Linked DNA regions of Arabidopsis thaliana. The protein of the gene in region 1 interacts with the protein of each later gene in a pairwise test. Each region holds a gene or a part of one and is shown on either strand. Other genes may lie near its edges. The genes, in order: AT1G14260 and MKK10.

Region 1 (13,107 bases):
TTTGTCTTCGTATGCTGATAATCCGGAGGGAGCAAGCGTGTCAGTGACGAAGCTTGTGGAATTCGCCAAGCAGAGGATTCCCAAGAGAATGTTCAGGAGGAGTGACATTAGGTTAATGGCGACTGCTGGGATGAGATTACTTGAAGTGCCTGTTCAAGAACAGATTCTTGAAGTTACAAGAAGAGTTCTTAGATCTTCAGGTTTTATGTTTCGAGACGAATGGGCTAATGTTATCTCTGGTTAGTTGTTTTTTTTTCTTGAATCAATTCTTCATTTTGGATAAGTTGGGAAATGTAATCATTGGGAAATGATTCAGGATCTGATGAAGGTATATATTCTTGGATTACTGCCAATTACGCACTTGGTTCGCTTGGAACTGATCCGTTGGAAACAACGGGGATTGTTGAACTAGGCGGTGCTTCTGCGCAGGTTTAGTCTTGTCTCTCTCGTTGGATGCTAGAGTACTAGACCATGCATACATTTACGCTATATATAGCTGGCTTTCTCTTTTTCTTTGTATAAATGTAGGTATTTTCCGTCCAATTTTGGCAGAAAAAAATGATTTGACTTTTTTTTTTTGATATAATTTTCATCACAAATTTTGTAATTTAAGACGTTTTTTGTCGCTTGATGATTCAAGATTGGGTTTAGATTTTTTTAACAAATTTGAAACGAACATTTTTGATGCAAAAATTGGTTTGAAAAACGAACAATTCCGGATTAAGAAACTAACAACAACCGAACTATACTGCATCTAGATCTGAATCTTGATGTTGACTTTAGATGTACGTCCGGATTAAGAAACTAACAACAACAGAACTATACTACATTTGGATCTGAATCTAGATGTTGACTTTGTAACATATTTTTAGACTTCAACTGTGGTATATGGTCGAATTGTTAGTGATGACTATTTGTGCATATGTTTAGGTGACATTTGTGTCAAGTGAGCATGTGCCTCCTGAGTACTCGCGTACGATTGCCTACGGAAATATTTCATACACAATCTACAGTCACAGCTTCCTCGATTATGGGAAGGTAACTTTTGAGACAAGAGGATTTGTGTCTTTGATTCCTTGTTTTTTAAAAGTTGTTTGGAAACGTATTAATCGCTGAATTTTATTTCTTTTCTTTTTCTCATCAAAATTGTAGATAATAATGCTACCAAATTTGTTAATTTTCAAAAAAGCTATTAACTTTTGTCTCCTTCCAGGATGCAGCACTAAAAAAGTTATTGGAAAAACTCCAAAACTCAGGTTAGTTGTTTTTGATAAATTGTTATAATTGCACTTTTGAGTTCATGTAATTGTAATAATATTATTTTTCTCTCAATACTCATCTTCGGTGTTACAATTCATATAGCTAACTCTACAGTGGATGGAGTAGTTGAAGACCCTTGTACTCCTAAAGGGTACATCTACGACACAAATTCAAAGAATTATTCATCCGGATTCTTAGCTGATGAAAGCAAACTTAAAGGCTCCCTTCAAGCTGCTGGTAATTTCTCAAAATGCCGATCCGCTACGTTTGCGCTTTTGAAAGAAGGAAAAGGTAAACAAAGAGCATTATTGGTACGTATAGCTGAATGTTGTTCCTCGTATCGATTTTTCTTGATCTCTTATGGGTGTAGTTTTGTTCCTTTGTGAACAGAGAACTGTCTATATGAGCATTGTTCTATTGGATCAACATTCACACCTGATCTTCAAGGAAGTTTTTTGGCTACAGCATCTTTCTACTACACCGCCAAGGTATAATCCCATGACGTCAAGATTATATGTATGAATTTGTGGGGGAGAAATTGTTTGAACATTAATGTCTTATATATTTTCCTGTATGAAATTAATCTGAATCAGTTCTTTGAGTTGGAAGAAAAGGGTTGGTTGTCTGAATTGATTCCAGCTGGGAAGAGATATTGTGGAGAAGAATGGTCGAAACTGATATTGGAATACCCAACAACTGATGAAGAATATTTGCGTGGCTATTGTTTCTCAGCAGCATATACTATATCAATGCTTCATGATAGTCTTGGTATTGCTCTTGATGATGAAAGGTAAAATTTACTGCACAAATTCAAGAACATTGTAAGATTAATCAAATGTGGGTTTTTTTGGACAAAGATATAAACAAAAACTATACGTTTGTTTTTGTTTGCAGTATCACGTATGCAAGTAAAGCAGGAGAAAAACACATACCACTAGATTGGGCATTGGGGGCTTTTATACTAGATGTTGTAACACCCAATTCTGATTACAATGGTAAATCTAGAAAATATCTTGGCTTTTAAGTAACGTAGCCAAATACAAAATATGAAATCATAGTTTTGTATTTTACGTTAAACTGTGTTTGAAAGTAACTATCATGTCGTCGTTCCTTTTCATGAAATAAGTTAGCTAAGTTCGTAGGTGTGTATCTTCCCCTGCATGGGATCGACTCTTCTCGTTTGTGGGATTGTATTATTGTAATAAAACTCTTTGTTTGGTTTCTTCTCTCAATAATATTGTTACAAAGTTGACGAGTACAAAACAAAAAGAGGAAGGAAACAAATTAAAAAAAAATTACTCATAAGAAAAAGAGAGAGACCAAATTAAAGTAGAGGTGGTACATAATAACATGAAATTCAATATTGTTTTTTTGTTTTTTTGTTTTCATTCTGATTTTGATTATGGACACGAAATCTAAGATTACAGAGCAATTATGAATGGTACTGTTTAAGAAATCGGCCCACAGCGAGTGATGATATATGATCCTTTGTTCGCATGTCCTTCTGTTTTGCACACGTTTTGTAAATGTGCTTTTACTTTCTTTAACTATTAATTTAGGTGTACAACAAAATAATAGATTTTCAAATACCAGTTACCACTAGTTTCTTATCCCTGGAGGATTGGTTACGTGAAATATCTTTTAGGTCTAAAGACTAGAGCTTGTAGTTATAGGTCTTCCTCTGGACTCCTATTTCTCAGTTCTCACTGATTATAAAATCAGATTCTAGACTAATTAAGAAGAACAGGCAAAACGAATTTGCTATTGGCCCGTTACGTTTTTTTTCCTTTAAATAATTTTTACGTTTTTTCACTACGTTTATTGCTATTGCTATAAATTTATCTTCTCAGTTTTCGTTAGAGAGTCTTAAATGCTGATACAATGTTTGTATACGTTCCAGGTTGGAAAAAAATAATCGGATATGGATGCTCTCAAGGTTCAGATTCTACCTGATAACCAATCATCACCTTCGTCCACGCACATGCTCACTAAGCCCAAGTCGAAAAAAGCGACAAAATCGATTGCCATGCTAATCGTCGCTTCCTTGGCTATCACGTTAGGGTTATTATTTGTTTTCAGTTCAAATTCAGTTATGTTCTCTGCAAGTTTTCTTCGGAGAAGTTCACTTCACTACAGCGTCATTATCGATGCCGGGAGTTCGGGGACCCGAATTCATGTGTTCGGGTACTGGTTTGAGTCTGGAAAACCCGTTTTCGATTTCGGAGAAGAACATTACGCTAGTCTGAAGTTGAGTCCTGGTTTGTCTTCGTATGCTGATAATCCGGAGGGAGCGAGCGTGTCAGTGACAAAGCTTGTGGAATTCGCGAAGGGAAGAATCCCCAAGGGGAAGTTGAAGAAGAGTGACATTAGGTTAATGGCGACTGCTGGAATGAGATTGCTTGATGTGCCTGTTCAAGAACAGATTCTTGATGTTACTAGAAGAGTTCTTAGATCTTCAGGGTTTAAGTTTCAAGACGAATGGGCTACTGTTATCTCTGGTTAGTTTTCGGAATCAATTTTTTTATTCCATCAAATGCAATTATGTTTAAGTTGATCACTGACCTACAATTATACATTGTGGGAGTTTACCTTTCTTTGGTGCACTTGTAAACATAAGATTTTTGTTTCATTTTGTTTTCTTTTAGCTTAGTTGAGTGATAGTAAATGTGCACATATCCATTGGCAATTGGAAGTGCTAATTACTGGGGGGAAAATTTTATTCAGGAACTGATGAAGGTATCTATGCTTGGGTTGTTGCCAATCACGCACTTGGTTCGCTTGGTGGTGATCCATTGAAAACAACGGGGATTGTTGAACTTGGTGGGGCTTCTGCGCAGGTCTAGTCTCTTTCCCTTCTCAAATTTGTTATCCAGAAGAAAGTGTCCTTGGCTCTGTTCCTTTTGTCAAACTACACTAGTTTGGATGTATTATGAATTGCATCCAAAAGATTTGGATTTTATGGATACAATGAAAAGTAGGGTCTGTTAGTCCAAAACTATCAAAGACTAAACATACTAGTACGATATACAATGATTGTAAGCCATTTTCTGTATTTGTATAGGTGACATTTGTGCCAAGTGAGCATGTGCCTCCTGAGTTCTCCCGTACCATATCTTATGGAAATGTTTCGTACACAATCTACAGTCACAGTTTCCTCGACTTTGGACAGGTAACTTCTGAGAGCAGAGCATTTGTCTAAATGTTTTTGAGTACTTATTTTCTATGATTTCACCCTTTTCAAAAAGTTATCCGGAAACTTAAGTGGAAATTGCGTCCCAGTTTTCTACTTAATAATATTCTGATTTTTAAAATTTCCTTGTAGAAAATGCTACCAAAAGTTTTGCTAACTTTTGTCGTATCGTGCAGGATGCAGCAGAAGACAAGCTATTGGAATCACTGCAGAACTCAGGTTAGTTGTTGATAACTTCTTAAAGTAATCATTAGTTTACTGAAATTGGAATTTTTTTTGTTAAAGCTAATTAGTAATAGCCCTCTTGAGTTGGAAATAATCTTCTTTTACCTCAAAACTAATTTGGTTTTTTATTCCATACAGTAGCAGCCTCTACAGGGGATGGAATAGTTGAAGACCCTTGTACTCCTAAAGGGTACATATACGACACACATTCACAGAAAGATTCATCCGGATTCTTATCTGAAGAAAGCAAATTTAAAGCCTCCCTTCAAGTTCAAGCTGCTGGTGATTTCACGAAATGCCGATCCGCTACGTTAGCAATGTTGCAAGAAGGAAAAGGTAAATAGCATTACTTGTATAGATGATTTATAATGGGAATATTTGATCTCTTATGGCTATATTTTTGGCATTTTGTGTACAGAGAATTGTGCTTATAAGCATTGTTCTATTGGATCAACATTCACACCTAATATTCAAGGAAGTTTTTTGGCAACAGAGAATTTCTTCCACACATCCAAGGTATAATCCTTTGAATTTCATGTTGGTCGATGTCAAGATTCCGTCTGAATGTGAGGAGAATTGTTTGAACATTGGTCTTTAATTTCTGTCTTGATCAGTTCTTTGGGTTGGGAGAAAAAGAGTGGCTGTCTGAAATGATTTTGGCCGGAAAGAGATTCTGTGGAGAAGAATGGTCGAAACTGAAAGAGAAATACCCAACAACTAAAGACAAATATTTGCATCGTTATTGCTTCTCATCAGCATATATTATCTCAATGCTTCATGATAGTCTTGGTGTTGCTCTTGATGATGAAAGGTAAATGTTATTGCACAAGTTCAAGATCAATGCATGTTGGTTTTCTGTGACAAAGATATAAACAAAAACTATATGTTTGCTTTGTTTGCAGAATCAAGTATGCGAGTAAAGCAGGAAAAGAAAACATACCACTAGATTGGGCATTGGGCGCTTTTATACTGAATACTGACACACCCACTTCTGATTACAATGGTAAATCTAGAAAAATGATTGGCTTTAAGTAACGTGGCCAAATACAAAATATATGATATGATCGTAATTTTGTATTCTACGTTACATTGTGTTTGAAACTTGTATTCTACGTTACATTGTGTTTTGAAAGTATAGTCGTCGTTTCCTTTTGTGGAATAAGTCAGCTAGCAGCTACTCATTAATAAATTGAACGCCAATATGTGGTAATGTATTATGTATGTGGCGGTATGTGTATAATTTCGACATTATAAGAAAACCTCTGCGACCTTACGGTTGTTTGAATTGCCAATTATAATTTTATCAATTACTTTTTGTTTACTTGACTTTACGTTCTTTGAACTATTCAAGTCAACAACAATACATTAGATAAAGAATTACCACTAGCTGCTTATCCCGAACTCTACGTAGAAATTATATAGTACGGCTAGAGAATAAAGTCTATTCTGCTGATAGATAGAATCATAGAAAGCCAAAAAAAAAAAAAAATTTCTTGTGGCAAAAAGCCTACTATAATCTATATTCGCAAAATACACTTTTTTTTTCTTCTTTACTTTGTAATACTAGATATCAAAGGTTGTGTAGACTTTTATTTTGTATTTAATTTTTTCTGCTGTTGAGAATTCATTACTCGGTGATAAATCTTTTCCCAACCGGGTGACAAATGTAAAATCACATTTCATAATGGTCTTTAGATCTTATTTTTTTATAGCTAGAACCAGTCTTGGATCTTACGCAAAATTAATCTAAATTCTACCATAAGTCGTTAGGACGCTAAAATCCTAAAAAACTAACATTTCTTGGTTCGACAAGCTAATTAACAAAAAAATTGTATAATAGTAAGGGAGTCTATCTGCATTTCACCTATCTGTGTCAGATTATATATAAAGAAACATATGTATACGTGACCATGTCTTTTCTTGTTAAATCTTTCTTTACTGAATACTTGACAATTTCTATAAGAATAGCTCAACGGTCAATAATTTTCAATCCGTACAACTAAGGACTATATAGACATGTATGTTCCCTGATCATTTATGGTCAACCACATTAATATGTTTCTAAAATATTAGACGTGAGTTCTATAATATTCTTCAAACAAATTGTTTATTTAGTGAAAATGATCAAGTGTTTACTTGATTTAATGAATCTAATTCTTCCTAGTTGTATTTTGCCAATAACCTTATCTATTCCAATATATCTACATTATAATGCGTATAATACTACTGTATAATACAACAGAGTATATATAATCCAGCGTATTATTGACTTTATACTCAAATATTGCATTAACAGAAAAATGCAAAATATATATTTTTTAAAGAATTATATGTGAAATAACAGTTTAATAATGAAAATAAAATCTAAAATTAAAGATTAGAAAAGTAATATTTATTATGGAAACTGACGAGTTTTGAAAAGATCATGGGATTAAATGGTGTATTATTTGTAGTTATACGACTTGGTTTTTTAAAATTATAATCAAAAACAACATGTTGTTAATTAAAGAGGTACTAGATGCTGTCAGAAATAGACCAACAAAAAAGAGAGACTACTTTAGATTACCACTAGGAGCCGTTATACTTAAGTTCTGGTCAACGGCTATATAACTAACGGAGCCGTTAGTCTTTTCAGACGTCGTTATCTTTCCCGCTATAAAAAGCCATTTTCCATTAGCTTGATTTCCGGGCCAAACAAAATCTTTTGTGAAGAAACTTTCTCTCATCTTCCCAAGGGAGAGAGCAAATACCAAAAACTTCTTTTTGCGTCTCTCTTCTAACATTCCTTCCTTGCCGATATTTCAGCTCACGACGAGAAAAATCTCACCGTTCACGCTATATACATCTATTTGCAGGTGATTTTTTTTCTTCTAGATTTGGTATCTCGTTTTCTCCGAAAATCTCGATCTTGATCTTTGCTTTTCTCGGATTCGTAACGCATGTGTCTGATTAGAGTTCATATACTTGTGAATTTCTTGTTTTTCGTATTTAGGGATTTGATTTCGTAGAAGTGGTTTTGGGAAACACTGAGATGAGTAATCATCACACGGTCGTATATGTTAATGGATTGGTTCGACCGGTTCTCGCGGAGGCTGAGTATAGTATGAGAACAGAGTCTCCGGCGGATAATGCAATTGATATCTACGACGGAGATACTACGGAGAATGAGGAGGAGGATTCACTGATTTCTTCCGCGGAGTGTCGGATTTGTCAGGATGAATGTGATATTAAGAATCTTGAGAGTCCTTGTGCTTGCAATGGCAGCTTAAAGGTAGTTTTTTCCTTCATTGTTTCATGATCACTATAGGAACCTATAGTTAGTTATCAAGAGAACATTTGAGTATTGACTTTTAAGTTTTACGTTGTGATCAGTATGCTCACAGAAAATGTGTTCAACGTTGGTGTAATGAAAAGGGAAACACTATATGCGAAATCTGTCATCAGGTATATACATTCTTTCTCTTGATACTAATGATGTATGATTTGTAGAGGATGCAGCTCAAATTAAACTTTCTCTTATTCCAGCCATACCAAGCTGGATATACCTCTCCACCACCACCACCACAATCTGAAGAAACTACTATTGACATTGGGTATGATCATTTTCATTATTCTGTTTCTGTCATACACTTTAGGTTTGGTTTCATGACTTGTAATTGTTCTGACTTATTTGTCTGTTTTTTAGTGGAGGATGGAGAATCTCGGGTTTGGATTTAGATGATCCACGTCTCTTGGCAATAGCAGAAGCTGAACGTCAGATTTTAGAATCAGAATATGATGATTATACAGCTTCAGATACCAGTGGAGCTGCATTTTTCCGCTCTGCTGCTTTAATAGTAAGTCTAAAGCTCCTCAACAAGTTTCAATTACTCCCGAGTATTTTTACTAATTTCTCTTCTCTTTTGCAGTTGATGACTCTTCTTCTATTGCGACATGCACTGACTATACCAGATTATTCAGATAGTGAAGATGATGATCCTTCTTCAATACTTTCTGTAAGTTACTACTTCTTCCTTTTTTCCAGCATATACTGGAAAAGTTTCGTATAAGTTCTAACTCCAAACCACAAAATCATCTTGCAGCTTTTCTTACTCCGAGCTGCCAGTTTTCTTCTTCCTTGCTACATCATGGCATCAGCCATCAGTATCCTGCATCGCCGTAGACAGAGACAGGAAGCAGCGGACTTGGCCACTCGGTTTGCGTTGGTGCTCAGCTCGCGCCAACCTAGACCCGTGATTAATTATTTGTCAATGGAGCCATGATTTTATAGTTCCACTCTAAGAGTTTCAGGTGTATATGCTTTTCAAATATTTCATCAGAAAAAAGATTCATGAACTGCTGTTAAAAGAGTGGTTTACAGTAAGTAGAAAGAAGAATCTCTTCTTCTTCTTCTCACTTCTTGCAAAGCTATTGAAACTATCTTTTCTGATGAAATCATTGAATCATATGTGGTGTTAATCAAGATTTGGTAGCAACAAGAACCATCACAAGATCTACATGATGGTCCTTCTGAATCAGCTTTCTTACAAACAAGGAGTGTCCTAACTTAGTGCAGAGTTTTTTTTTTTACAAGTATTCGATTCTAAGAAAGATTGTGTATGTAGATTAAAGAGTTTCTGATTCTGTAGCATTAAGATTTTCAATAACACTTGATTGAGAGATGAGCATTTCACTTTTTAGGTAAAGAAAAACGAGACACATAATTTGTAATCTGTGTAAATAAATTTGTTTTTTGTTCCAAAAAGATTCATCTCTACCATATTAGTTCATACATTACTGTCATGATGTTGTAATAAAGATAACTCTACCAAAACCCAAATTGCATTAAGTATGAAATCTGTTCTCGAATACAAAATATCTTACTAACATCGAGCACATAATGAAGCTTTTTGATGTTAAATGCGGACAGCACAAAGAGCATGGCTCAGAGCTAGTTTGCCTGCAATAGCTCCTTAATGTCATACCCTTGGATCTACAAAAAACAACAGAGACAAAACAAACATAAGCTAAGAGTTGATATGTTATTTTGACATTGTAGTGATCATAGGAATGAGTTTTCTACCTGAAGAAAAGTGAGTAGCAAAATAACTCCCGAGTTCCAGAAACCGTGTATGACCATTGGGGTAATGAGATTGCGGGTTTGTGCATATGATAATCCCAAAACACTTCCTAAACCAAAAGATACTTATTGTTCATCCAGAAATGTTCATAACCATGAGAAAATGCAAATGGTTTTGTTTTTAGTTATGTTTTACCTAGAATAAACAGCTGCGGGAATTCACCAGGTGTGAAATGGGCAAGGGCAAACGCAGCTGAGCTGATGATGATCGCTATTGGGGTCGGGACCCTGAAATACAGAACGTAACAAAATGTAGTAAGCTTTTGTCCAGAACCAAATGAGAAAAAAGAACAGAGGTTTTACCATTTGGTAAGAGAGACCATGAAGAATCCGCGAAACACGGTCTCCTCCAGAAGTGGAGCAAGGATTCCAGTTATGCCCACTAAGCTTAAGGTGCTGTATTATGTGCAATGTGTGATCAAATTCTAGTATTAACGCACATCGCAGTTTCTATTTCTTTGAGGAAATACCTTATGTTTGAGGATCCAATTAATGGAAGAAGCTTCATCAAAGAGTCTACCTGAAAACATCACACTAGGCCTCATTACTATTATCCAACAAATATTTCGAAAACAAAACATAAAGCATGGTTTTGAATTCTCCTAACCTCCCTTTCAGGTGCTTCTGTCCTGAACACGGATAAAACAACACCTGTTAACGCAATAGCACCAACAGCACCAACCAGACCGATTCCACCCCACACAAGCCATCCTTTTTGCAGGTTGACGGGTTGTCTCAAATCTGACGATCGAACAAACAGTCAACTACCAATAAAAGAGCAAACCATGCTGATAGAAAAAAAAAAAAAAAAAAAAAAAACGTACCATAGCGAAGAATATCTTCAGGAAGTGGGTCGAAGGTTTTGGCAACAGTGAATATGACAGCAAGTACCACCGCGGTTGTTAGGCTGCCAAATATTTAGACAATGTTATTCAACATAAGCCAAACCTCAAGAGAGATAACTAATTTTACAATGTGAAATCAGCTAAAGCAACGAGATTATATAATGAGTTTACATTAACAGAGTAAAAAAGAGCAAAGAATACACAAAAGAGTAGTATTTTTTTGGTTACCCTTGATCCAGGAACAAAATCTCCGCCTTATCGTCCAAGGTCAGTTTCTCAACGTCGATTCCTAAAAACGGTATGACTGCCATCTCGGTTAATCCTGTCAAAACAAAACTGCCTGGGAACAAAATTAATCTCACTCCATGCATTACACAGAGAATAGTCACTGAACATTAAACTATTTAACCATAACAGAGAGATTATCTTTCAGATCAGTCTACTCAACCATCACATTTATCTTAGCACACAGTCTATGTACTTTCATCAAACTCCAACCCTAAAGTCATCAAAAGGGAAAGCTTTTGATGAGAGTACCTTAGTGCACAAGCAAACGAAGTTAACGAAACTGTCTGCCATCCCCATGGAACTTCCCATCTCTGAAGTATCGGCCACTCTGAGCTACCTCCTTGTAACTACAACAAATATAACAATCAAAACTTCAAATAATTTCTCAAAGGTCTAGTCTTTTTTCACATTCCAATAGAATTTGGATTCAATTGAACAAGTTACATAGAGCTGCCTCAGAAAAATTCAGACCGGAAACTAAACAAGAATCTAATTTAGATAGAGTCAGTGAGACAGTAACCTTTCCCTCTCCTCCAGGTTCCTTTCCAGAGTTGAAAATGCAGGCCGATCTCCATTTCTTCCGATTAACCGTAAATAACCGGCGGCTAGCAAATCCTGGAGAAAACCGGCTCAAACCGCCGTAAGTACAAGTCTTCGGAAGAATTAACCTCCTTGAATCGGATAAACATAGAAGAGACGAAGATTGAGATAAACACGAGATTATCTGAGAAACCATTTTGAAATTTTCTGTTGTTCTTAGAGAACTTCCACACATGAACCAACACGATTATCAGATTGAGGAAGAGGATAAGATCCGACTAAAACGAGCGGGTAGAAAAAAACCGTTACTTACTTAAAATAACGTTGTTTAAGGCCCATTTATGTCAGTATAGGCCCAAAGCCCATTAACGACCAACTAACTCGACGACAAGTCTTTGTCAGTATATCACAAAATACGTACATCCCTCGTGTCTTCTAATTTGTAATTTTGTTCCTTGGGAGAATCATGTCCACTATTTTTCTTTTTTCATTTTCCTTATAACCAAGACAAAATATAATTAATATTTTGTTTATACATTAGCACAAAATCACTGGCAAATAGGCAGTCTTGTCCCAGTAATGGAACCCACACGACATAGCTTCAAAAAAAAAACAAGGAACTTCCTCATTTCTTCTATTTATATTACTCAAATCTAAATCATCCCTAAGAAATAGTAATACACAAAAAGAAACAAAATGGTGACCTTAACTTCATCTTCTTCAACTCCAAACGTATCTTTTGATTTCATGATGAACAATAATAATAACAGTAACAATCTCTATGGTCCTTTCTCTTCTTCTTCTACTTCTTTCTCTTACTTGACAAGCAAGGAAGATGCTCTCACCCAGAAGAACCTAATGAGTGGTATCACCAATGATGTTCTTGGAATTAACAAGAAAGCTTCTGAAGATTTGGAGATCAGTGTGTTTGGAGCTGAGAAGTACTTCAATGGAGATATGGATTCTGACCACAGTCCTAGACTTGTGTCTCCTCTGCCAGATCCAGAAGTTCCAATAGAGAGAATCTTTGTTGGTCCGAAGCAAAGCTCGAAGAATTCCTCGGAAACTCCTAGTCTTCGGTCTGAATCCAGTTGGAATAGCCAGAGTTTGTTGCTTCAGAGCAAATATGTAGAGAAGAAGAAGAACATCAAGAAAAACTCTAGTTGCAACAGTTACTTTCAGGAGAAGGATATGAGTAGCAATCACAAGGTGAGTAATAAGAAGAGTTTTCTCGCTACTCTTGGCTGCAGATGCGTGTGTTCGAACTGGAGTTCAGTGGATGTCGTCGACGACAAGAGAAGAAGCTCTGGTCTGAAGAAGATCAAGACTCAATTGAGTTTCTCTGGAGATCTAAGCTCGGAGATGAAGATTCATCAACAACAACAAGAAGCAATGCTAGAGCAGAGGAAGTCTCTGGAAATATTTGGATCTCCTCTTATTGAGAAGAGAATCATTCAGAAGAAATTTCCATGGGAATACTCGAGCTCTGCGAAAAAAGAAGAACATGGATTCTCTGTGAAGTATGAAGAAGAAGAAGATGGGAGTGTGAGCGATGTAAGTACGGATCTTTTTGAGATTGAGAGCTTAACAGGGAAGGCAAACCCTTTTCTTGCAAGGCAAGGAAGTAGTGATCCAGACTC
Region 2 (12,246 bases), 6.8 Mb from region 1:
ACAATTCTGAAAGATTTGCGATCTAGTGTCAGTGAGCCAGAGCTAACAGAGGAGCAACTAAAGATGAATGATCAATTACAGGAAGATGAGGTAAACTGAGCTATAAAGTTTTGACCTTTGTGATGTTTCAATAGCTTTAGGACATTTATTCATATCAAGTTTTGACCTTTGTGATGTTTCAACAGCTTTTGGCATTGGGGTACATATATGGAGGAAACATGTTCATCTTTGATCGGTATAACGATATGCGATACTTTCAGGTCAGAAATAAGCTGCTTAGTACTGACATGTTTCGTATCGGTAATGTGACATAACAATATATTCTAATAGTATTGATTTGTGCAGGTTCATGTAAACGTTGAAGCTACTAGTGAATATACTATCTCTACAAAGCTTAACTTACAAGCTGATTCAAGCAAAGAGTCAGAGGATTTCTTGTACTCTTTCAAGGCGCAACACCTTCCACCGATTGTGTTGAAATGTTTATTACCAAAAGCTTATCCGAGCCACTTACCGCCTTATTTCTTAATAAGTGTTCAGTGGATGAATCCTGATAAGATTTCAAGTCTCTGCTCTAAGCTGGACTCGTTATGGAGTGAACAGCCAGGGCAAGAAGTCTTGTACCAGTGGACAGATTGGCTACAGAACTCGTCGATTTCTCATCTTGGTTTTGATAATGAGATTGTTCTTGGTCCTTATGGTGTTACATGTTCCAGAGATAAGCGTGCTGTGTCTGGAAGTCGTTCTCCGGATTCAGATATTCCTTATATTAGGAGTTATGACGATGAGAAACGTCATGATAGCTTCCTTCAGAGCTTGCATGAGTGCTGCATATGCTTCTCTGAATCTGCAGGTATATCTTGTTCTTCTTCATAGCTGTTTTCTTTAGTAATGTGGGTTGGTTTACAGTTGTTTTACACCCTCTACAGGTATCGACTTTGTTAAGTTACCATGCCAGCATTTCTTTTGTTTGAAATGTATGAAGACCTATACAGACATACATGTCACTGAAGGCACAGTTAACAAGCTCAAGTGTCCGGACTCGAAATGTGGAGAAACTGTTCCGCCAGGGATATTGAAGAGATTGTTGGGCGATGAAGCGTATGAACGGTGGGAAACTCTTATGTTACAGAAAACACTGGAATCCATGACTGACGTTGCTTACTGTCCTAGATGTGAAACCCCTTGCATAGAGGACGAGGAACAGCTTGCTTTATGCTTCAAATGCTACTTCAGTTTCTGTACACTTTGTAAGGAAAAGAGACATGTGGGTGTGGCTTGCATGAGCCCGGAACTTAGGCTTCAAATCTTGCAGGTATCATTATTGTGCCTTTGATCTTCTCTTTGTTAAACCGTTGACTCTTTCTTACATGTAAATCTCTATACAGGAGCGTCAAGATTCTTCTCGTCTTGGAGAGGAACAAAGGCGGAAAGAGAAAGAAATGATCAATGAGATTATGAGTGTGAAGGTGATAATGAAAAGCGCTAAACAATGTCCGTCGTGCAAAATAGCCATCTCAAGAACCGGAGGTTGTAACAAAATGGTATGCAATAACTGTGGTCAATACTTTTGTTACCGTTGCAACGAAGCTATCACTGGTTATGAACATTTCAGGTTAGTGATGTTACATATATAAAAGAACAGATACATATGTATATAAATCTTGGAACTAAGTAAGCTCCGTCTTTTTTTTGGGAAAAAGTGAGGGAAAATGTGAACTGTTCCCACAAGAGGCGATCCAAGAATGGAATGAGATGATGAATGAGAGACAAGTCATTGGACAGATTCAAGCGCAACTGTTTGCACAAGGCGGTCAGTTTCCACAGCGCGGTCAGTTATGTCCTAATTGCCGCCAGTTCAATGGAAAGGTAAGAAAATAAAAAAATTTGGTTTTAACAAAGGCAGAGAATTATAGGTTTTTGAGGTTCATGAGATGATTCTGGAGTTTGTTATTGTGTAGGCGGGAAACAACAATCACTTGTTTTGTTGGGCATGTCAAGCACATTTCTGTTATCTTTGTAAGAAAGTGGTGAAGAAATCTGCTCAGCATTATGGACCAAAGGGCTGCAAGCAGCACACAGATGGGTAAAGGCATGTCTGCAAAGATCAACATAGAGGTTGTTGTCGTTTGTTTTAAAGTCCAAAGAAACATTGATAAGTTTGATACATTCTTCGATTCAGGTTTCAATATTTATTATACTTGGTCATTATCGTGTCTTCTCATTTGCTTGAGGTATAAAAACATTGATGGGTTTGGTTCATTTTTCGGAAAGAAAGGTAACCTAAATGTTCTTAGGTTTCCTAGATTCTCTTCGTATCTTGATTTTTGATTATCTCATCCACTACTTGAACCACAAGTCTTGTCCAGATAGGATTGAGATGTCAGCAACCACAGAGAGTGATGGAGATTCAAAGCAGTGGTAGTGTTGTATTATATAAACTGTCATGTTTACCAATATACATCGTATACTTTAGATTTTATTTTGACTCTTTAAAGTTTTCGTAAGTGATGATAACAAACGACTCGAAAGGTAACAATAGCATAAAACACTAGCAGAAAAATAAATAAAAAACGAAACAATTATCTAATTGTGGCCAGGATCTATTACAATTAGCAACTACTACAAAAGTCCACAGTTCTGTCTCATTCAAGTCTTTATTAGCTTAGAAGACATGCAAAAAGTTGGAATTGGCAAGTGTCTCGGTGACGGAGCAGCACCCATTGTAACCGAACCACCAAACAATTCTCCTTCTTGACTCGGTTCTTGAATCGGCTTCTCATTAACCGGTTTAGAATTTGAAGGTTTCGAGTTATACAGAACTTTTTGTGGGTAATAAAAACGTTTCAAGCCGAAGAAAGGAACCAACTTTACATCATGTAAACCAAAGAGACAAGAGAAGTAATGGAAACCAAATCCGTATTTTGTATGAAACGGAACGGCATAAACGTTTCTGACCATGTAACGGTGTGTTATCATTATCGACATCTTCAAAGAGAGATTTTGATTATTCGATCTGAGAATTGTAAACTCTTCGATGTGTAGTAGAGTAATTGTGAGAAAATAATGGGAGGTTATTTTATAATGTTACGGTAACACACAAAAAAGGAACACTTCCTGTATTTTGTTGTTTCCTTTTCGGGTAAAGCTATTTAGCTCTAATTTAGGAAATTACAAAGTAAATTACTAATTACATATGCAGTATTACTTTTCTTCCTCTTCTTTTTTTTTTAATCATAAATATAACCTTTTTTTACTTCTTCTTCCTATATCTTTTTTTTTTCTCTCTTTTTATTCCTCATCTCCGCTCGGATCTGCTGCTTAAGCAAAGCTTCATCGATTTTGATTAAACTCGAATTGAGACCTTCCCACATTATTCCACCCATTGAAATCACTTGATTCATTTTGTAGAAGATTGATAACACTGAATCAGCCATTGTCGACTTGATGGATTGTGTTGATTGTTTTCTGGTGTTTATAATTCCCAGATTGATTTTAAGATGAGCAATTGAAAGAACAGTAATAGAATTGGATAAAACTTATTTAATAATTGAGATGTTGATTTTGTTTAATTGGGTTGTTCTTTTGTGAATTGTAAAATTCATGCGGAAGCTCACCTTGATCTTCTCTTTCTTAGCCATATTCTTAGCAACGATTCCAGTTTTCAGGTCAATGTCGATGTTAACGTTATTAGCAATTAGAATGCGTTTAAAATGCTTTGTTGAATATCTCTTCATTAGTTACGACAAATTTGTATGTGGATTCAAAGTAAATCTAACACCCATCGTAACAATCAAAGAGAGAGATAAACTATTTTTTCAAATAAACATAATCTGGAATTCTATGGGAAGAATGGAGAAGACAAGACCGACAGCAATTTTGTTTTTTTTTTTTTTTTTTTTTTTTTTTTTTTAAGAAGGTATGACATATAAAGTGATTTGGTATCAGTTTGAATGGATTTTTATCGGGTTTGGTCAGAAAACCGATTAAACCCAAATATATGGGGAAATAGATGAAAACTATCGATTTTGGGAAATATAAATCGAGAAGTATCTTTTCGGGGACATCTGGATTGTGGTCATACTTAGGGCTCTATCTGGCATGATGTCATAGTTATCATGGAGAAATAGACCGTTTGACCGACAACAATTTTGTTTTTTTTTATTTTTTTTATTTTTTTTTAAGAAGGTTTGACATATAAAGTGGTTTGGTATCGGTTTGAGTGGATTTTATAGGGTCTGGTCAGCAAACCGATTAAACCCAAATATATGGGGAAATAGATGAAACTATCGATTTTGGGAGATATAGATCGAGAAGTATCTTTTCGTGGACATCTGGATTGTGGTCATTGTTCGGGCTCTATCTGGCATGATGTCATAGTTATCATGGGAAAATAGACCGTTTTCCTATTACAATACATATGCCGGCAAAAAAAAATACATTTCTATAAGCTAAACCGACAAACAAACATATTTTCCGTAAACAAAAATAGATACAAATGGAAAAAACCTAGAATAAAGGAAAACATTAAAACTAAACAAAAACTTCTCAACCTCATAACTAAAGAACTCATAAATAAAGTACAAAATCTAAATATGAATTGAAATAAAATACAGATATGAAAGTAGAGATCCACATAGAGGAAATAAAACCATGACTTTATTTTTTAGACGATGTATTTAATATAGTATTTTAAGTGATTTGTGTAAAATTTACAAATCATATATTATTTAATTATGAAGTTAAAATTTTTTAATAAAATTTAGTGTTATTAAACTAATGATTTAAAAATCTACTTTTATTATTATTCAAAATAGTTTGTAGATTTAATTATTATTATTTTTAAAAGATTTGAAAAAACTTTGTTAGTTACTAATACATAAATCTCTGATGGAATTTGAAAAGATTGTAAGACAAAATAAAATTTCAATTTATTATTTTAACGAATTAAAATCGATACTCGTGTCAGGCTAGTCAGCCCAAAAAGAAAAAACAGAGCGTAATAGCGAATAATATAGTGACACGTAATAAATCATCCGCTTTTAAGAGAAAAAGCGAAATGTCTAATTCCGTAATTTCGTAAGTGTTCATGAGTCTCCCGTCGTCTCTCTTTCGTCCTCTCCATCGATTTCAAAATCTCTCTTCTGATCTATATCTCTCTCCGCCCATATCTCTCGTGAATGTTCTCTGAGAATTCTCTAGATCTTCAATCAAAAGTTATCTCTCTCTCTCACCTATTGTAAAAATCACCAGTTTCGTATATAAAACCCTAATTTTCTCAAAATTCCCAAATATTGACTTGGAATCAAAAATCCGAATGGATGTGAGCAAAGTAACCACAAGCGACGGCGGAGGAGATTCAATGGAGACTAAGCCATCTCCTCAACCTCAGCCTGCGGCGATTCTAAGTTCAAACGCGCCTCCTCCGTTTCTGAGCAAGACCTATGATATGGTTGATGATCACAATACAGATTCGATTGTCTCTTGGAGTGCTAATAACAACAGTTTTATCGTTTGGAAACCACCGGAGTTCGCTCGCGATCTTCTTCCTAAGAACTTTAAGCATAATAATTTCTCCAGCTTCGTTAGACAGCTTAATACCTATGTAATCTTCTTCCCTTTCCCTTCGCCTTTTTTTTTTACTTCATCATTTCTCGATTTTATGGATTTTGTTCCATTAATGTTGTTCCCATGGTTGCTTTATGTTTCTGAGCAGAGGAGTTTTGTATCCATTAGAATCGATAGTTAGTTTCATGAGTATGCTTTTTAGAGACTACTTTATTTGCAATACTTGATATCTTGTGATTGTTTAGTTTAGAACCTCACGGCTTTGAAATGATAGATATGTGAGAGCGTTGATGAAGCTGACTGTACATACAAACTTAGGGGGATGAGAATAGAGATGTATACCCTTTTTTTTTTGTCTTTGTTGTCTGTTTGACTCTCTGTAATCAGGTTTAGTAATAGTCGTAAGATAGTAATAAACCTTCCTGAATTTTCTCAGCATTCATTATAAAGGAGAAGAAAGAAGAAATTTGGAATAAGAGAGCAAGTCTCATGTTGATCATGACCTGAGTGCAAGGTTATCAACTTTCTGTTTTACTAATCTATCATTTTGTTGTAGATGAGTCAAGGTTTAGTGGAGATATCTCACGTCTTTGAAAACCTTAAAAGGCCAATGTGATCAGGAGTGCCTGGAATAGAAACTAGATCTTAAGTAGATATATGGGTGTTTAGTGTTGGAATATCTATATTGTTATTAGTGTGACTTTAAATCTTTATCTGGCATGTCAGTTACGGGAACCATAGGTTTGCTCTGTACGGTTGCACTTAGATTAAATACTTTTTATTCATATAGGCTGGATGGAGATTTTATTGTGTATATAAGTAGATAACTATATAAGCTTTGCTCTAAAGGTCATGGTGAATGGAGCTTGTACTGCATAATATTTAGAGCAGGATGCTCGTGATGCTGCAAGATGGTGAATGCACTTAAAGGAGCTTGAATTTTCTGCTGACAGTTCTTGTTTGCCAGTTATTCCTTAGTTACTGTCTGTGTGGTACATGATGTCTTACATGTTGGGCACTATTTGAAGCAAAATTCAATCTTTATGAGTTTATACCATGCAGACTTTGACATAAAGATTACACTGGTAGATCATAGATACTTTTCACCCTCTTAGTTTTCAGTTATCCCTATTAGATATTTTGGTTTTTCCTCGGTTTGGGTGGTAGGTAAGACCCATAATAGGAACATAAATAAAGTAGTTTTCATGATTCATATATTAAATTGACCATGATTGGTCATTTACTTGACTTCTGAATTAAAATTGCTCTTGATGCATGTGCCAACTGATCAGTTACGTCCTGTATATGGCTGTTTCAATCTGTGGATAGTTGGCAGTTAAAAGACTATGTGTTGAAGGTTTTAGATTTGCACTTCTAAAGCTGTCGGATGAATTCTTTCTCATTGGTCTTGGTGGAATCCATTTTCATTCCATTTTGCGTGTCTTTTCTTGATACAGGGTTTCAGGAAGGTTGACCCAGATAGATGGGAATTTGCGAATGAAGGTTTTTTAAGAGGTCAGAAGCACTTGCTACAATCAATAACTAGGCGAAAACCTGCCCATGGACAGGGACAGGGACATCAGCGATCTCAGCACTCGAATGGACAGAACTCATCTGTTAGCGCATGTGTTGAAGTTGGCAAATTTGGTCTCGAAGAAGAAGTTGAAAGGCTTAAAAGAGATAAGAACGTCCTTATGCAAGAACTCGTCAGATTAAGACAGCAGCAACAGTCCACTGATAACCAACTTCAAACGATGGTTCAGCGTCTCCAGGGCATGGAGAATCGGCAACAACAATTAATGTCATTCCTTGCAAAGGCAGTACAAAGCCCTCATTTTCTATCTCAATTCTTACAGCAGCAGAATCAGCAAAACGAGAGTAATAGGCGCATCAGTGATACCAGTAAGAAGCGGAGATTCAAGCGAGACGGCATTGTCCGTAATAATGATTCTGCTACTCCTGATGGACAGATAGTGAAGTATCAACCTCCAATGCACGAGCAAGCCAAAGCAATGTTTAAACAGCTTATGAAGATGGAACCTTACAAAACCGGCGATGATGGTTTCCTTCTAGGTAATGGTACGTCTACTACCGAGGGAACAGAGATGGAGACTTCATCAAACCAAGTATCGGGTATAACTCTTAAGGAAATGCCTACAGCTTCTGAGATACAGTCATCATCACCAATTGAAACAACTCCTGAAAATGTTTCGGCAGCATCAGAAGCAACCGAGAACTGTATTCCTTCACCTGATGATCTAACTCTTCCCGACTTCACTCATATGCTACCGGAAAATAATTCAGAGAAGCCTCCAGAGAGTTTCATGGAACCAAACCTGGGAGGTTCTAGTCCATTACTAGATCCAGATCTGTTGATCGATGATTCTTTGTCCTTCGACATTGACGACTTTCCAATGGATTCTGATATAGACCCTGTTGATTACGGTTTACTCGAACGCTTACTCATGTCAAGCCCGGTTCCAGATAATATGGATTCAACACCAGTGGACAATGAAACAGAGCAGGAACAAAATGGATGGGACAAAACTAAGCATATGGATAATCTGACTCAACAGATGGGTCTCCTCTCTCCTGAAACCTTAGATCTCTCAAGGTAACTAAAGATCAACTTTAGTAGTTGTCTATCAAACTCTAACTATTCAAGTTTAATTGCTTAGTTATTTATATTATGTTTATTTCACTCAGGCAAAATCCTTGATTTTGGGAGTTTTTAAAGTCTTTTGAGGTAACACAGTCCCTGAGAGCAGCATATTCATTTTTCATACGCTGATCTTTTATTTCTTCTTTCTTGTATCAAAGTGGTTTAACATTACTGCTTCATACAACTCTCAATTTTACACAAATTCTCTATCAATATGAGAATCTGTGTCATGTTTCAGTCTCTTGTTTGAACTTTTCGCTTATTTTGCTTGAAGAAGAGCAATGCGAACTTATTAAGTCAACATAACTATTCATCTGTTCTCTTTTTTTGACATTATTAATCCTTCATGAATGCCGAATAAATCCAAACTAAACTAAAATTCATAACTTCACAATACCAAAAATTTCATACAAAACATATTGAACCGAGTCTATGTTTAGTGTAAACTAAACCGAACTATTTCAAATACCGTAAAACCTCTATAAATTAATATTCAATAAATTAATAATCTTTATAAATTAGTAAATTATTTCGGTCCCGATTTGAAACCAATGTAAAAATTGATACAACTCGGATAAATTAGTAAAATAATATTTTTTTTATGAAAATCTTATATAAATAAATGGTCTCATCAATAATATAAATTAATAATTGTATAAATTTACCAATATATATCTATATATAATATTATAAATATCATATGTAAAAAATGACTAGTTATGTTTTTCTTCAGTTTTTATTAATTTTTTGTAGTGTTGAATTCTAATATTTTACAACATCAAATTTCTATTTTTATTTTTTAAATTTAATAATTGTTTTCTACTTGTAATTGTGTTTCAGAAATACTATTGATTATAAAGAAAAAAAAACTTTTTATATCAAATTTTTTGTTAGAATTAACAAAATTTATACAATTTTATTAATTAATACCTTTCAAAGTAATAAATTTTTTTTGTCCCAATATTATTAATTTATATAGGTTTTACTGTAAACAGAAAATTTGTAAGAAAAAATAAATCAAGTATTTTTAAAAAAGTTATTAAATTTTTAAGCCTAGTCAAAAGTAATAAAAATTTCAAAACTGAACTCGAATCAAACCAAAAAGTTCAAACTAAACCGAACCAAAGAATTTCAAAGGAAAACCGAACCCAAAAATTCAAATTAAACCGGATCAAACTGAAACTAAAGTTCGGTTCCTTAGTTTATGACTTGCTTTTCTCAACCCTGAAAACCAAACCGAGACTAATGCTATCTGTTTTTCACAAAAGAATGACGAAGAAGCTCTTCCACAGTGTCTCTCTTCCTCCAATCCTTCTCCAAACATCTCCCAACAAAATCTCTAAACTCCAACGAACAACTCACTGGAATATCCACCTTCTCATTGCAGCAAATTGCACAAAATAATGTCGCCCAATCCGGTTTATCCCCAACTTTGGTCAATGGATATCTTCCAATGTAACACTCAAGAACCACAACTCCTAATGACCACACATCTCCTGCAAATCCAACTTCTCCTCCAAAACCCCATTTCTCTAGATCTACACGTTCAGGACTCATATAAGCACATGTCCCATTCGATCCATAGTCTCCTCCGGCTACTATCCTACTTGCTCCAAAATCCGCAATCTTGACCTCTCCTTTCTTATTAATAAGGAGATTTGAAGGCTTTATGTCTCCATGAACTATTCCCATTTTTTGCAGATAACGTAACCCTTGGAGGATTCTGTTAGCGAGACTCGATACCATTGGCTCGGAGAAAACTTGTTGAGCAAGTAACGCGTCATGGAGAGATCCTTTCTCCATAAGCTCCATCACGAAACAGAGATCGTATAAACTAACAAAAACGGCATAGCATTTAATGATAAAACTCGATTCGATTCGCTTGAGGATGTCGGCTTCGACGGTGACCGTGGTGTTGAGATTTGGCCGGAGGACTTTTAAGGCGTAAAGCGTTTTGGTTCTCCGGTGACGGGTTTTGTAGACTGTCCCACCGCTTCCTTGTCCTAAAACGGAGAGTTTCTCGAGATCGTTTAAGGTTTGAATCGGCGATGTTTCAGGGCTTGACGATGAAGAAGATGCCACGGAGAAGGCGGTGCCGTGGTAAATAAGTGGTGGAATAGAGAGTGTGAGAGGTTCTTGGTGACGTCGTTCTCTAACAAGTGTCATCTAGGTTATTTGCTTGCACTTGTGGTTTTCAAGTCCTAGGTTACATAAAAAGGACATGACACGTGGCAAATGGGATTACTTGTATGACACTTGTCAATCAGTGTTAACAAACTTAAGCAATTTGTGGTTTTTAGGTAGTGGTGATCAATTGATTCCTGATAAAAATAGGTAAACAAGTTTTGGGATTTAATAATGACCTTTTGGTACTTCTTTTTCCGTACATATAGTAGAATCTTTGTTTTGGGAAGATGATAATAACCTAATTTTTTTAAAGGAACTAATAAAAAGTACCAAGTTAGACAAAAAATCAAGAAAAATATCTGGATTTTAAATTAATTATTCAAACTTAAAAATTGTCTTTGATGAAAGTTGATTATCTATATTCTTGAGAATATTGAAATTTCATTTTCGAGTAATAGACTCATTAGCCGAATAATGATTTCCTCACTTGTATATTAACACCATAGAAATACTATTTTGTCCCTTACAATGGGAAAATATAAAGTTAACGTTTTAGTGACATTTGTGAAGAACACGAAACAAAGCGTATACGACCATTTCTGATATTTCTTACTTGAATGAATCCGATCATCTAGGAAGCTGAACAAAGCTTAATTTCACCATAGCTTCACTTCACCTCCTTTCTTTAGAAAATTACCTAATCAGAAACAAATATACTTCAGTAGAGTGTCTTAGTGATGACGAAACACCGAAAACACACACACAAACCCGCAGATTCGATCAAATGTTCTCACCATACCGACTTGCCTAATCTAGAGAATGGCAAATACATGAAATTTTGAACCATTGGGATCATTACTGCTGTTAAAACTTATTCAAGATTGATATAAACGTACACATGAAAACAGCTTTGTGACATACAGAAAAATAGGATTGAAGAAGAAGAAAACTAACCTCTTCTGGATATAAGATGGATTCGAGAACGAGGACCTTCGAACATCCAACTATCTTCTTCCAAAGACTTAACCTCTTTGTCAAGTTCAGTCATCAAATCAGCTTTCAAAACTACACCATCAAAACAAAAACCAAACCTATTACATAACATATCTCAAACAAACACTTGAAACTGAAGCAAGCTTTTTCTTAATCTACTCATGTCCTTAATCATTTATTAGTAATTAATTAGCAATACTAATTATCTAAAGAAGTTACTGTTAAATCAACAAATCAATCAACCAAATAAAAAAAACTCAGGGAAACAAAATTGGGATTTTCAGATAGTATCAAAAACCCTAAATTTGGAGATGTGATACTCAAATCTCTGATCACTGAGAAATTTGATTACCGAATCTTATAGAAAACCTCTAATTTGAAACCCTAAGATTCGAAATCATGAAACGAAAAGGGAAAAGAGTAAGAACTGACCACGCATAGCTTCGTCTTTTCGCTCTTGCATTGAGGGAATATCCGGTGGAAAATGGAAATCGTCTAGACCAGCGGCGGCGCCACTGCTTCCACCTCCACCAGCTACGGCGGTCGTCGAAACCAATGAATGAGCCGGAGAAGCGCCGTTCATCACTCAGCGCGAATTCAAAATCGAAATTGTTCAGAAGAAATTTGGGATCAACGACGATACATTGACGGAGGAGCCGTAACAAATCTTAAACCGAAATTATTTTATTCGAGGACTAACCATGTAAACCGAATTGAACCAAATAAACCGGCTAAAGCCCAACAACAAAGGCCCGTGTGACCGACCATAAAACTTGTTAAGCTTGTCATAATGAACAAAAGACGTTGTTCTGTAAAATGTTCTGTTTTCACTTTTCTCATATACGATTAAACATCAAATTAAATTTGGTATGATCGTCATAGCCATTTACTGATTT

Evidence for each region.
Region 2: the proteins of AT1G14260 (region 1) and MKK10 interact in a protein complementation assay, tested with the Arabidopsis thaliana proteins (one large-scale study listed by BioGRID).

What each region holds. Positions count from the first base shown.
Region 1 is NC_003070.9:4,865,494-4,878,600, forward strand, and holds AT1G14260 (RING/FYVE/PHD zinc finger superfamily protein), read left to right. Parts: upstream 1-7,362; 5' UTR 7,363-7,530; intron 7,531-7,623; exon of another isoform or gene 7,624-7,667; 5' UTR 7,668-7,706; coding exon 7,707-7,946; intron 7,947-8,047; coding exon 8,048-8,119; intron 8,120-8,200; coding exon 8,201-8,268; intron 8,269-8,360; coding exon 8,361-8,511; intron 8,512-8,583; coding exon 8,584-8,670; intron 8,671-8,757; coding exon 8,758-8,937; 3' UTR 8,938-9,034; exon of another isoform or gene 9,035-9,138; 3' UTR 9,139-9,414; downstream 9,415-13,107. Other genes in the region: AT1G14240 (GDA1/CD39 nucleoside phosphatase family protein), read left to right, coding at 1-239, 317-429, 931-1,038, 1,214-1,256, 1,363-1,551, 1,651-1,748, 1,854-2,050, 2,155-2,284; AT1G14250 (GDA1/CD39 nucleoside phosphatase family protein), read left to right, coding at 3,182-3,758, 3,985-4,097, 4,322-4,429, 4,627-4,669, 4,814-5,011, 5,094-5,191, 5,290-5,486, 5,578-5,710; AT1G14270 (CAAX amino terminal protease family protein), read right to left, coding at 9,606-9,647, 9,738-9,844, 9,931-10,022, 10,098-10,190, 10,265-10,314, 10,402-10,535, 10,619-10,701, 10,868-10,975 and 2 more; PKS2 (phytochrome kinase substrate 2), read left to right, coding at 12,164-13,107.
Region 2 is NC_003070.9:11,653,306-11,665,551, reverse strand, and holds MKK10 (MAP kinase kinase 10), read right to left. Parts: upstream 10,397-12,246; coding exon 9,479-10,396; downstream 1-9,478. Other genes in the region: NHL8 (NDR1/HIN1-like 8), read left to right, coding at 1-90, 186-260, 346-853, 930-1,315, 1,389-1,615, 1,704-1,869, 1,962-2,090; AT1G32337 (uncharacterized protein), read right to left, coding at 3,430-3,468, 3,618-3,737; HSFA1D (heat shock transcription factor A1D), read left to right, coding at 5,318-5,605, 7,026-8,182, 8,275-8,287; SAMBA (valine-tRNA ligase), read right to left, coding at 11,014-11,054, 11,312-11,422, 11,783-11,933; GulLO1 (D-arabinono-1,4-lactone oxidase family protein), read right to left, coding at 12,187-12,246.